Linked DNA regions of Styela clava. The protein of the gene in region 2 interacts with the protein of the main gene of each other region in a pairwise test. Links are inferred from orthologs where the notes say so. Each region holds a gene or a part of one and is shown on either strand. Other genes may lie near its edges.

Region 1 (7,830 bases), on a different chromosome or scaffold from region 2:
ACAGACTAACGACTAACATTCACAGTTATTATAATTATACTGTTTACTTAAATAATAGAGTGTTGGCTATTTTAGGACAATATGAAAGCATATACAAATCACAAATTTGACTACTTGGTTGAAAAATAGGTATTAAAGTACGCATGTCATCGAGCTGCTCTCAACATTGACGCCAATCGAAATGTTTGCGAAAGCTTACTTTTTAGTGTAGGACAACTACAATCTTTCTAGAAGAAAGCCTTGGGGCCGAGCGATCTTATTTGTACATAGAACAGAACAGGGCAATGTTACGCTCGGTGATAACTTGCGATCAGCTGTCAGATTTGTATGACGCCATCCCACCGTGCAAGGGTCGACATGGAAAAATTACACAATAAAACCGATCAATATTTATTTTACTGAAGAAGTTTCGATGTCAACAAAGGAAACTAATTTTAAACAAGCGTAGGTCACCTGAACGGTGGAAATTGCTGGTAACCTAATTACAGTAAGTTAATTATTTACAATTTCCTGGAATTTAAACCTAATGCCAAAAGTTTGTTCACGCAGAACGAACGACAATAATCAATCTGAATATATGTTTCCAGACCAGTGAGATTGATTTTATCATTTTATGCTGGAAGAAGTGATTTGTTTTGAAAATTTCAAAAAAAGTTTTGCACAAGAGTCCGCTTCATGATTTTAAATTCAGGCCCTCGCTAGTGATCAACGAAAAGCGTGACTTCGAAACTGATTTGCCTGATCCTGTATCAACCTGAGTTTGGTGCTGTGATTTTGACATTGGGCACTGTAGTATCAATAGGTTATGGTGTTGGAACTCAATATCTTTTCTCTGCAACACCAACGTAGTCAAACATTTGACACTTAAACTGCACCCAGGACGTTTGCGCCTGAATACTTTTGCACTCACGGACAGAGAGAGAGAGAGAGAAATTTATTGCCACAAAAACAAAATCAACACTAATATAAACATAATACAATAACGAAAATATTCCACAGTAATTGATTATTGCTTTGTGCGGGTCGGTGTGCAAGACCGATTAAAGTCATCTAGGCTCCCGACCCTTGTGTATGTGCTATATATAAGTTCATCATAGGTGTATACAAATGAGATTAAATATAAACATTTAAAAAATAAATACGAGGAAAAAAGGAAACGAGTCGGCAATTTAATGGTATTATGGAAGTTACTAAGGGCAATTTAGGTTTTAGAGAGGTCATGTGTTGGTTGAAGCCGGACATGTCCAATGGAAAAATTTTCACGAAAAGCATATTTTTTGTTATTGGACACAGACCGGGATCAAAAATGAATACCAAGGACGAAAAATAATATTATCACAGATTCAGTAATAGACCGAGTGCATGATGTAAAAAATATCATTACTTGTCGATCTTGTTTATCGATCTTTGTCTGTTTGTCTGTCTGTTAGATGCAAGCGATATCTCAAGAAAGCGGGGTTTAATCTCCACCCAATCCAATTTTGCATGTGCGTTCATCATTTCACGGACCAGATGGCTATTGATTTTGGTAGAGTTATGTCGTATAATTAGGGAGCTATTAATTAATTGGTGTTTGGACACACGGTGTCACTATAGAGTCATGAATCGAAACCGCAGTTTTGATCGATAAGTCTTTGGTCTCCGACCGATACTCTCGTTTGACACCTTAATTAGTTCACGATATAAAAAGGTTATTGAATTAAAAGTGGCTACCAACATCCCTAAGTATTAATACATACTTTTGAAATAGAATAGTAGTTAATATATGATCCACAGTTGAATATGAACAATTAAATATGCAATTATTATTGCAGTTAATCACTTTTTCACAATATATAAAGATTATTAAATTAATTAACAAATGGGCTACTATCATTTATAAGTATTTATGCATACTTGGAACTATAATATTAATGTATGATCCACAATTAAATATGCAATAACTATGCAGTTCATCAGTAATACCACAATAACTTTCAATGACATAAAAAAGGTAATTACAGTATATTAGGCAGTACTATATGGATCAAGGGAGCAAGATTTTATACTCAATTACATATTATGACGTGTTTAGCAATAATTCAAAAGATAGAAATATCAATAACAATGGCTTTTAAAGTCGAACATAGAAATCATCAAATTGACGCCAATGAAAGAAAAGAAGACAGCAATTTTATTACCTATATACATACATGAGTTGGAAAAAAGGGCTATGACCCTCAGTGTGCAGTGTTTATATGAAACAGTTAAATTTATAGTAATGTAGTAATTTATATAATGCAGTTTTCAACACATATTAATTAATTAAACTACAGATATTAGGACAAGTTAGAATATTTCAGTAGGGAATATTTTTTCAGTTTCTTACTGAAAACATGCACAGAACTTTTTTTAGTTTCAGGTGGAACATTGCCCCAGACCTGTACACCCATATACTTCAAAGATGTTTTGTCCACCTCAGTGGACACTTGTGGAGTAAAGAAAACTTTGTTTCTTTGAGACCTGGTGCAGTAATTGTGCACTTTTTTTAATGAGGTGAAATAATGTTTAAAAACAGGAGGGACAAGGTCATTTTCTTACCGATGCATGAACTTTGCTATTTCTAGCGTATGTATATCAGACAGCTGTAGGAATTCATACTGGTAGTAGAGCTGCAAATTAGTTACACGAACTTTCTCTGCAAATGCCATACATCGTAAAACTTTATTTTGCAAAACATGAACTGGCTGTAAGGAAGACCTTGATGCTGAGCCCCAACTTAGCAGACCATATTGCAGACGTGAGTGGAATAGACTAAAATATACTAATTTAAGTGTTTTAGATTTCAAAATATGCCTTAACCTGTAAAATATTCCAAGAGTTTGCAATAATTTCTTGGATAACTCGGCAATATGTGGCTTCCAACTCAGTTCGTCATCAATTGTAATTCCCAAATATTTAATTGATTTTGTTTGTTCTATAATGTTGCTGCCAATGCCAACTCTAAATGTGGAAATACCATGCTTTTTATCACAAAACAACATAAATTTTGTTTTAGAATAATTTAGGGATAATTTGTTCGCTTTAAGCCAATTATCGACCTTCTGGAGTTCATGATTCACCACAGTTTGGAGTTCTAAACCACAGGATGCTGACTTTAGCAGAGAAGTATCATCGGCAAATAATGTCGAATGAAAAGTAGATGCCAAAGGTAGATCGTTTATGTAGCATAGAAATAACAGCGGGCCAATCGTGGAACCCTGGGGGACCCCACATTCAATAAGGCCCATTTCAGAGATACAATCCCCATATTGGACATATTGTTTGCGGCCACCTAAATATGATGCAATAAGATGATATGCCTTTCCTCTAATGCCATAATGATATAACTTATCTAGTAAAATTTGGTGGTTAACAGTATCAAAAGCTTTCGCAAGATCCAAAAAGATGGCACATGTGATCTTGTTATTGGCCTTATTTTCTATTATCATTTCTTTGAGCCGTGCTATGGCTAGCTCAGTTGAATAGTTGTTTCGGAAACCAAACTGGGAAAGGCTCAAAGTTCCATGTTTATCGAAATAATATTTGAGACGATGATATAAAATTTTTTCATAAATCTTGGCAATTTGTGATAGCAGGGAGATAATTATTCGGACATTTGCAGCTACTTATTTCAACAACTCAATTTAAATTGCGTCTGCACTCTGCAGCAATTTTTACCACGGGCATTTGCAAACGTGGACATTTGGAACCACGTACATAATACATACTCACTTAACAACAGTTCCACCCGATACCTTTACACACGTCCGTCTTCAACAAGTAAAATATAAAGTATAGAAAAACACGTAAATATAAAGCTACACACCTCTCCATCTAACAACTGTCATGACGAATTTATGTGCTTTTTTCATAAAATTTTATCATAGTTTAAATTTTAGAATCAATATAACAACGCCTTCACAAAATTGTGACGTGGTTCCTATTTCCGTGGCATGGTTCTTCGCCAAATAAGTGCCTGCCATGTGCCATGTGTGTCATGTCGACTCCAAAGTGTAGTCACTTTGGTCGACTCGACCGACTGAGCTGTCTATTCCATCGAGGTGTACCGTTTTCAGTTCCGGAATCCCGGGTCGCTGAATTCCGAAGCTTCACAGAGGTCTGCTTAATAGCCTTGTTCTGCAGTAGCAAGGCTTTGGATAATGAGACAGAGCCATGGGGTCAAAATATTTAGTTTTCTATAAGTAGGACATATACAGATATTAGATGTAATTTTGTTACGTTACGGTACCTATCCCTGGGTGACCAACACGTCGTTCGCCACGTCTCGAGCAGTTTGCGTCGTAACATCGCGTCTGATGTTACTGTGTTGAGTGAATTTTAATGGAATACTCCTAAAAATTGTCTTGAACCAGTAGCGCGTTTCAAATCGTGATGAATATATAGTACTGTACCCGTACATGCGCAAAATACATTATGCGCAAGCAGTATTTGCTGATTTGAGTCGTGCTAGCCCGATAGAGCATATTATTGCAGTATTGCTGTATTGAGTAACAAACGCAAGTTTTGCCGCTGCCAAGGTTTAGAAATGAAGTGCCGAATATCGGTGTCTTGATTGACAAACGATCCTACAATAACTTCTGCAGTATGCGAAATTTAATGTCTTACTCAAAGAGTAGTGTGATAAATTTTATTCGCAATGGTAGCAGTGACATCTTAATGCCCAATTTGGGTTAATTTTAAGCAAGCGGAGAATTGCAAAAAAGTAACAAAAACAAAACAAAAAAATGGAACAAAAAAATACAAATTTTGTGTCAATTTTAATAATAATGTTCCCACAAAGCCTTCTTATTGACAGCGGTAGAGTTTTTTGTATGTATGTGTGCAGTTATCTGCATATTCAGTACCCAATAGTTTTTGTGTATGACCCTATTACAATATTACCGATCAGTCGTTCGCTAGCTAGTTTAAAGATTTTAGTCGATCGTGGTCGAAAGCAGGTTGGCCACCCCCGCTATATACCGTATACTGGTAGACAGTATAAAGTTACGATATATTCACACATGGATTGAACAAAATACGAAAATGTGACGAAAATATTACACTGAAACGCTGTCTATATTTAATATTTCTTTATTATTATAGTTCTGTAGTTATTATCACTACCTTTAGATCCTTGTTATAAAGCTGACTATCCAATTCATACAAGAAATCGTGAATCATAGCATTAGAAATGGTGAGAAGGATTTTACTTTTGCATGACGCGAGGATGGTTTGATCGAACTATCACTTTATCCGAACTTAATCAAACTGTATTGTAACCTGGATTAAAAACACAACTTTCAAGTTATAGATGTAATGCTGTCCTGCGTATTTCAATGCATAACAAATAGTGGTGGACACTAGGGATCTAATGCTGAATAATTGGTCACTTTTAGGTCACACTGCTGCACTGCCAAAATGGTGCTGTTTTTTATAGTAATAATATAATTTCGATTTCCCCAAAAACATGCACAGAACAAATAATGTACACACAAAACATAAACACACAGAATAATGGAAAAATCGGGAAAATAAAGTATAATTTAGATGCTTTGTTCTCTTCTCTCTTCCTAATTTTTAGTGATAACAGATTACTTCATACACAAGAACATTAATTTTTTGCTCACTTTCTTATTCAATATAATTGGCAATTTAGTTTTTTGAGAAATTTTCCCTTCTTTTTTCGTTTGTAATAAATATGTCATAGATGAATTTAATATCTGAATATGTTTACAGCTTCGTCGCCAGGCCAGAGAAAGAAGGGAGTTTTTGTATCGTAAGTCTGTTGAAGACAAAAGACGAACAATTCAAGAGAAGAAAGATAAACTCAAGCGGTCATTAGATGGTATTTAAACTAGTAAAAATTAAGCTTCTAGTATTGTAAATATTTCCTCTATCAGTCATCATCTGTGAGAAGTTGGAGGCAGTCTTCTGTTGGATATGGGAGAAAGTGGATGAGTAGTTTTTGAACAAACTATTGAAAAACAGAAAAATTCTCAATTGCATCATATTTTATCTTTGTTCAAACGAAATCCTAACATGTTCAGTTTATTAATATTATCTTGATATTTCATTTGCACAATGGTATGATTTGATAAAAAATTCTGCCAAGTCTGTAAAACCCCCATAAGATCTCATTGCTATATAACTACACAATAGATTAGACAGTCTGATTGGAATTATTGTCCAGCAAATAGGCACAGATTAATCAGATAAAATATAGGGGACCGAAGACATGTCAACTTTAGCAACAGTCAGACAAAGAAGAATCCTAAATTTGGGTTACATTGACAGAGGTTCGGGCGCTTAGTGAATCTACTCCTGGTGAAAATATATCAGTCGAAACCATGTCTCTGACTCTGCACACTGCTGTACACAACCCTAAGATAGTATAAATACATAAAATGAAAAAAGGGCAAAATTTAGTATCATCACCCTTTTTATATTTAAAGTTGAACCCCATGAATATGAATCTATAATATATTGTATGTAATTATTATCTTGACTTTATATTTTGTTCATCAGAAAACAAAATCATTCCTACTGAGCTCCGAAAAGATGCATTGGCCTTGCAATCAGAATTAGAATTTGATGATAAAGGAGCTGCAGGTGTATCTAATTCTATTGATGATGAATACAGATGGGTGGGAGTAGAAGATCCAAAAATTATGATTACTACTTCTCATGATCCAAGTTCGAAACTGAAGCAATTTGCAAAAGTACCATTTTAATTTCAAATGACCCACTTTTTGATTTTGTATATAGGAAATTTATGTTTTTTTTTTTTTTGAAACTCCCTTGATCAGTTTCTCACACTAACCCCTTCATCATTGAGTTAGGTTAATACTAAAATCATTGAGATTACGATCCAAGCCCAATCTATTGTTTTATAGGAAATAAAACTAATGTTTCCAAATGCACAACGACTCAACAGAGGAAATCATGAAATGAAGGCTCTTATATCAGCTTGCAAGGCAAATGATGTCACAGATTTTATTGTTCTGCATGAACATAGAGGAGAACCTGGTAAGATTATTTTAAGAGGTGTACACATGAAAAATTTTAAAAATAAATTTTGTTCAGCTTCTAGTATATTGAAATTTTATAATAAACCAAAAAAGCGATTAGTATGAAGATTTATTATACTTATGGCTCTTTTGCTATATCTTTTGCACAAGTTAATTTGCGAAAATGCCGGCTATATGTTACAGGTCATCTTTACGCTACAGGCAATAATTACCAATTATATTTCTCTGTTGCAGATGGACTGATAATTTCACATTTACCATATGGACCAACTACATATTTTAATATGTCAAATTGTATTATGAGGCACGATATTCCGAATGTTGGTACGATGTCCGAGGCATATCCGCATTTAATATTTCATAATTTTAACTCAAGGCTTGGAGAAAGGGTAGGAATATTGGTTTTGAATAAAGATTGTAGAATATTTGAACTGTACATTGTTTCAGATTTTATAAAATTATCTCAAATTTCAGAAAAAATATTTTTAAGCTTGTTTAAATCGATGCAATGCTTGCGATCAATTACATTTTTGTTGTGGTTTCAAACATGGCCGTGTAGAAGAAGTCTGGAAACATGGCATTTTGTTGGAGCTAGAGCCAGATCTACCAGAAATTTTATCGACTTCGGCTTCTAACCACCAAATTATTTTCCATGTCTATCATTTTTTAATGCAAATACAAACAGCCGGACCTGGAGCCACATTTTAAATATGCTGTGGTTCCAGATCTATTGTGATTTTAAATCAGCTCCTTTTGTCAAAAATGGGGTGTATATTTTATA
Region 2 (7,096 bases):
ATGGTGAATTATTGCTGAAGAACATGAAATAGATTGCTTACTTTGCCATTTATATTCTCAAGGTGTCTAAATATTTTTGTAACCCAAATGTCAATCAGATGTAGGGAAAATTGCACATACACAAAAAATTGAATTACTGCTGCTGGTCATCATAAAAGACTTGTTTTATTAGTATTTTAGATCTTGTAATACTTTACTTTTTAATGTTTAAGGGTATCAGCATTGTTCGATTTGTAGATGACCTGCTATTGTTGCAAAATAAAATTTTATTTCAAAATATTTCATGTCTTAAGTCTTCTGGGATAAAACACAAAGTTGTAGATAGCAGTTTCTGTGATTTCGTCAATCCTTGAGATCTTGTGGTTAAAAATGAATGCCAAAAGCATTATACACCTTTTTGTCTTGACTTTGGGATAATCGGTCAAGGCTGAGATAACCAAATGGCTTTTCATTCTGTTATGGCGTCTTTCGCAAAGCCGTAACAAGCTTATCATCTCTCTTCCCAACGAATGTCATGGTTTTTTTCTGGTAATAATCGCTCATGAATTCAATATTTTCAATGACATCCGTCAGTAAATGAGCTCTGGTTACAGACGATCCTGAAAATGAATAACATTAGAAAGAAACAGAAGATGAATGTTGTTAGGTGTATATTGAGATTGTGTTTAGTTACCTGGAGCATCAAAGGCGATGTTTGTGAAATGTATATGGAGGTGGTAGTAAGATGGTTGATAATGGAAATATATTCTTAACTTGTGTTTCTTCACTCCATACTTTTCCTGTATTGCATCCTACGTAAAAGAAAAATCGTCCTTAAGTCTTGTTCTATTAATAAGCTTCAATTGATTTCCAAAACAAAATTGTCACCTCTCCACGTTGCTTTATGTTCTTCAGTAGTGGTAAATGATCTTTATTCAAATCACGAAGTGACTTTAAATCATGTCTGTGAACAAGAGCTGGGAAGAAAAAATATGTGATGCACCATATAAGAAGCTTCTGTTATTTGGGATGTTAATCCTTAAAATACCAGCATAAATAAGCCATATGTGATAACCATTAGAAAATCCCACTGTGGCATATGGCAGCCATCAGAAGCAATGAATATACAAATTATTCTCTAAAATTGGCTACACAAAATATTAAATTTCAAGGATTGTGAGGATCAAACAAAAACAAGGAAAATTTTGCATACCCATCAGATATAATGATTCTATGTCTTTCAGGTCCCATTTCATATCGGGGAGAAGAATGAATCCTATTTCAGGATCAGGATCTTCAAATACAATCCTTTCGGATTCGCTTTTCTTATCCAGAATGTTGAAAACCCACTGTGAAAAAAACATACCATAAATAGATGGGAATATTATGTAATATTATTATTTCTGAAATATAAAAACATACTTTTTTATATAAAAGTAAAAAGATCAGACTATTGCAATTGTTCTACATAGGTGATATATAAAAAGAAAAATTATTTTCCAACTGCTATTTACGATTTATGTACAACATACTTTTCTCATATAAGTTGCATGCAAAACTATACTTGTGCAAAGCAAACAATGCCTGTCATAAATAATTTGTTGTGCTTGCCATTAATTAAAGATTATGTTATATAAAGGTGTGGCCCACGGATTCTCCCAGTTATTTGAATGTGCCTCTCCTGTATTAAAGGTTGCACACACCTGCTCTATGGTATTGTCAATTCTGAATGAAACCTATAATTTTGTTTTCATATGCTTTTAATCATACTTGCACACTGAATCGATTTTCTTCTTTCAAATATGGCAGTGTGATTTGCTTGTAGTCATCGCCAGTTTCCTCTATTACTTCAACTTCTTGCTTTGTGTATTTTTCTATGTGCTTTGTGGTTGCTGGATATATCACAGTTGTCTAAAATTAACAGATGAGAATAATAATAATTGACAGAAGCAAAAAACAAAAAAATATCATTTTATGATTTCAATTATTATTAATAGTACATTACTTCAAAGCACTCAATTTCGAACATATAACTCGTTAAATACATTTCATATCCCAAACCATTCAAATTGTCAAGTTCATTCAAACTCCCTTTTGAAAGTTTACTTTTATTTGAATGCTCTATCCTTGCTCTCAACACCACCATTAAAAAAAGGTTGAAGTGGTCATCAGGCAAAGATGAAATCGCATTTTTAAAGTAGACTACCTTAATTTCTGTGTGCGGTGAAGTGGGTACTGCTGCATATGTACTGTAGATATCATTTAATAAATCTTGGCGGAGCTTTGTTTCTTCGGAAAATAGAGATTTCAAGCCCTTTGGTGATGTGTCAAAAGGCCTTTTTTCCAATATTACAACTAGAAAATAAGAAGATAAATTGCTCTTTTAAATAAATTGAAAAATGTTTAAAAGGTGATTGTTATAAGGTATTTTGGAGTGCCTTTTATTGCGTTACACATAAACCATAAAGTTAATTAAGCCATGAAATGTAAATGTTGAAAATAAAATTAACCTGCGTCTTTGTTGTCTTCTCCAACTTTTCCATGGAGAAATACAAGTTTCTTTTCCTTTACTTCATTTAGGACGACTGGATTTTTCAATCGATGGAAAGGATGTAGCTCCACATCAATCTTAGCTAATTTAGGCGATGGTTCATCTTCCTCTTCACCCATAATCAAACTTCGGCGAACCCAAACACCAACCTTTCAACCACAATATGCTTAAACGAGAAAACTAATTTTGGTACTTTCCAGGGTCATGACCCCTTGAAGCGTGCGCATGAAAGACATACCATACACCGAATCAACTGAGATAAATAACCTGAGAGTGTTGGCGTATTTGTGTGCCAATAGAGGATTTGTCCTGTGGCAAACGACGTTTGAATCTCACACAATGACCTTAGGCATGTTTGCATGTAGGGACCGGTACGATAAAATCCTTTAAAATACTTTGGGTGATGATCCGTCAGCTTTTCAAATAATATGATTTCCTTTCCTGGCGTATTGGTTATATCAGTATATAGACGTTCATATACGGTAGGCTAGTCTCCGTAACGTACGGCACCCTTCCGGTCTTGATGCCTCGCCCTGTTACCGGTACTGTGATGGGATATTGTTCCGTACAAATTCCGATTTACTTGAAATCTTGCTGTTACCATATCCAGTTATTTTTTGTGTGATCCTACTCCACTAATAAAATGGTCCTTACGTTTCGTATCCAATATGCCTCAGTAGGCTACAACAACCAGCTTTTGATCGCTGCTAGCAACGAGCTTCATTCATTTCTTGTTACGGTCCATGAACGCACAGTTGAACCCCACGAGGGCGCTGTCGCGTGTATTATTACTCTGGTGGTATTTTGTTTCTCTGTTAATTATGATTAATTAAATTTGTATAATTTTTTTTTGTCATTCCCTCTAAATCTCCAGCCCACAGGTGTCGTTGACTCGATGACTGTCACAGTCTTTCGCGACTCCTTATCTATTGCTATGAATCTCTCACTTGTATGAATTCTGATGTGTATATTTAATTTTTTACGATTGTCATTATACACGTTTGTCAATTTTTCGTGCTTTAAATTTTGTGTTAATTCTTGCATGATAGAAATAAAATATCTGAATCTGAATCTGAATCTGAATCTGTTCGAGAAGGCATATTAATGTTATCAATAGCTACAATATATAGATATATGGTATAATCTAGTATTCAAAAAAGTTGAGTTAAATGGTGTACAAGTCCGGATTTCATAAATCAGTTTTTATTTATTTGTTTTTATCAATCACTTTATGGCCTGTTATGCTGATTATGGAGTCGAAATAAACTTACGTATATACTGATATACAAGTGTATGTTGATATCACAAAGCTTTTCGTGAATATTTTAACAATACTTCTGGATCGTAAGCCAATATATTAGCAATACTTGCATAGACCTATATTGCAGAAATTTAGCCTCACACTAGAATGATAATGCTCCAATACTTCATTCCACGTTACTGTGAAATTTCCGTATAGCATATAGACTAATACTGTAATATGTTCTACTTAATATATTTTGCATAACTTTTCAGTTTTATTAGATGAGTTGTAGAGTTTAGGAAATTAAATACAGCATTAGTTGAAGTTCAAACTCAATCATGGATGAACACTTTTTCACAAAATTGAAATCAAACTTTGAGCAATTCGTATCCTCACCTTTGCCATTTTTGGAAGGATGTACAGAAGTGTCAGACAATTTTAAATTATTATCAAAGACGATTTATGATTCTAATAAATCATCAGCAATTTCATCACGATCAGGTCCAATACCAAAACTTATCATTGAAGGTTTTGATCATGAGCAGATTTGGCAAGAAATTGAACTTTTCAATAAGAAGGAAGCTGCAACTTGTCTTAAAGCAGCCGAATATTTTAATTCTCAGGACATTTCCCAGTTCATGTTAAAGAAACATGAAAGTGATGATGAAACGGGTGATGAAGATGATGATTTGTCAGAATTAGAACCTGTTGAAGGAGAAGCGGAACCAGAAGGTGATTGGTTCATTATTTTTATTCGTTTTACACTTTTTACTTTGTAGCCTATATATATATAATACAATACTGATTCATCAGGTAATTTATATTTTTAATATCAATGATTACAATACTATTTACTATACATGACTAGTGGAGGTATGATTTTATTATATTCTGTTGTCCAGCACAAAATATTCTCCATAATTCTAATTTGTACAGCTGGAAGATATTGAAATATGCATTTGTTTGAGAGGGGTTCGATGTATATTTTCTATAATATAAGTCCCAAGCAAAGACCAAACTTAAAATTGAGAGATCATGATTATAAAGGTTGCCAGAGACCACTGCAAACAGTTATAGTGCTAGGCTCACCTTTGGTTTTCATCTCAATGTTGTTCAAATTCTTATTTGTAACTGTATTAAAAGTCAAACTGATATCAAGAAAATTTAACAATCAAAATTGAATATATTTAGCGGAAAGCGACGTGGAAGGATTCCATTTTGAAGAAAGTGAAGGAGATGACGAAGAAACTGAAGAAGAAGAAGAAGACTTCAATCAACATGATGTAGTAACGGAGCAGACTGAAGTGGACGATGATTTTTTCAGTCTGCGTAAAATGGAAAAATTCTTAGAAGACGAAGATCGAAAATATGAATTAGAACAAAAGAAGCCGGTAGAGGGCGACATAGACTATTTTGAAGATATTCCATCTGATGGCATTTCCTCATCTGAAGATGAGAATGAAGAATATTCAAGCAAGATTAAATCATCAAGAAACTTGAAATATTCTGATTATTTTGATGAACCTATTAGTTCAATAAAAAATAGAAATGAAAATATTTCTGAGACTGAAATTGATGATAGAAACAATGCACAAGATCAAAAACAATCTCATTTTGAAAAGCATCAGAAACAAATATCACAGAAAATTGGAATACTAGAGGAAAGAGCATTGGCACCTGCAGAGTGGCAAATGACTGGTAAACTGTTTTATTCATTCTATAATAAAGAATATTCTGTCCACTTTGGTATGCAAATCTCACTTGCTTAACGCACAGCACTAATCATGGTGCCTTTTTGGTCAGTCTCATAAAGAAATTCTCATAGAATTCAGTTTCTAACTTCAACTAAAATCACTGAGATCATATACCAAATTAGCACCGAGTATTCCTTAATAAGAACCCATTTGGAATGTGAAGTACTGGGAGTTTGTTTTAGCTAACCCTGGCCTCCATTTTAGTGGTCAGCTATTTTTAGGTGAATGCGTTATGTGCATTTTTCTAAGCTTGTATCGTAAAGAGAGCTCTAGCTGACTTTTTCTTACCAACTGTTACTTGATTATCTGTGATTATGACATCTTAAGTTAGATTGGTGAAATATTCATTTCAGTTACATAATTTATTGATCTTATTATTTTGCGATACAGGGGAAGTCAAAGCTGCATCAAGACCAGAAAATAGTTTACTGCAAGAAATGGTTCAATTCGATCATGTTGCTCGACCTCCTATTGATATAACAGAAGAACACACTAAAGATCTTGAAAGTTTGATCAAACAACGAATCATGGATTGTGCTTGGGATGACATTGAGAGAAAATATAAACCTGATGGTAACTACTAATAAAAAAAAATACTCTACTTTCGAAAAAATTCAATTTGTTTCCAACTTGTTTTAGATGTTCTCTATTGTATTTACCTAGGTATCTGTATTGTATTATGGCCATAATTAAATTATCCAAAGCATACAATTACCATTTCAAGATCATGAAATGGCATATCCAAATGCTTAGATGTATTATTATTTATATAAACAATTTGAATAATCAAGAACCTATTATAAATGGTGTAAAATTGTTTTAAGTATCCATATTATAGTTCTTGAGAGCTCTACCGATATATCGGCCAACCGATATATCGGGCCGATATTGCGTGTTTGCCGATATATATCAGCGTTAGTCGCTTTTCCACGTTCTAAAAAATGAGTCCCCCGGGAAATATCTGCGGCCGAGCTTTTTCTTTTTTTCGCTTCTCTCATTTTGCCTCTCAATGAACAGAGAGTTCTCTCTTTTATCTCTTCGTGCGGCGCAAAATCCTCGCCTTCGAATATCTTGCGTCCCCACTAGACTTGCACGTAATCGACAAAAATCAATTCCGTAATTACGGAAAAAAATCGATTACGTAATGACCCCGTAATTGCGATATTTTTTCACGCATTTAAACCTATCATAACAACCAATTGAATCCACTTCTTTTCCAAATGGGACATCGAAGTTTGGTTTTCATATCACCGACAGTACTACACGCCGGCGACAGATGTTAAAGACAAATACCAAGGAGTGAATTCAAATTAAATTTATTCTGATTTTTATCTTTTGATTTGATTTTCCTTTATCACTTTCGCAAATTAACCGTCCCAATTTTATGCGATCAATTTTATCATTACCAACACTGGTATACGGATATTTATGAAACAATAGTTGCCTTTTTTAAAATCGACTTTCGTATTGAATAAAAATTTCGGGTTTCCAAGTTATTAATCAACGACGAGCGTATTCTTTCGTTTGATTATACCTGCGCTTGCCTCGCAACGAAGACCTGTTATTGAT

The links. The genes of interacting proteins can lie anywhere in the genome.
Region 1: the proteins of U3 small nucleolar ribonucleoprotein MPP10-like (region 2) and U3 small nucleolar ribonucleoprotein IMP4-like interact in a two-hybrid assay, tested with the Drosophila melanogaster proteins (2 studies listed by BioGRID). The link is inferred for Styela clava from reciprocal best matches to the Drosophila melanogaster genes CG13097 and CG11920.

Annotation. Positions count from the first base shown.
Region 1 is NC_135256.1:12,039,347-12,047,176, reverse strand, and holds the start of U3 small nucleolar ribonucleoprotein IMP4-like, read left to right. Parts: upstream 1-4,808; 5' UTR 4,809-5,212; coding exon 5,213-5,215; intron 5,216-5,757; coding exon 5,758-5,866; intron 5,867-6,546; coding exon 6,547-6,740; intron 6,741-6,914; coding exon 6,915-7,047; intron 7,048-7,283; coding exon 7,284-7,438; intron 7,439-7,830.
Region 2 is NC_135252.1:8,336,189-8,343,284, reverse strand, and holds the start of U3 small nucleolar ribonucleoprotein MPP10-like, read left to right. Parts: upstream 1-4,032; 5' UTR 4,033-4,111; coding exon 4,112-4,505; intron 4,506-4,964; coding exon 4,965-5,471; intron 5,472-5,917; coding exon 5,918-6,100; intron 6,101-7,096. Other genes in the region: m7GpppX diphosphatase-like, read right to left, coding at 457-599, 674-791, 868-956, 1,193-1,328, 1,750-1,890, 2,186-2,334, 2,490-2,649.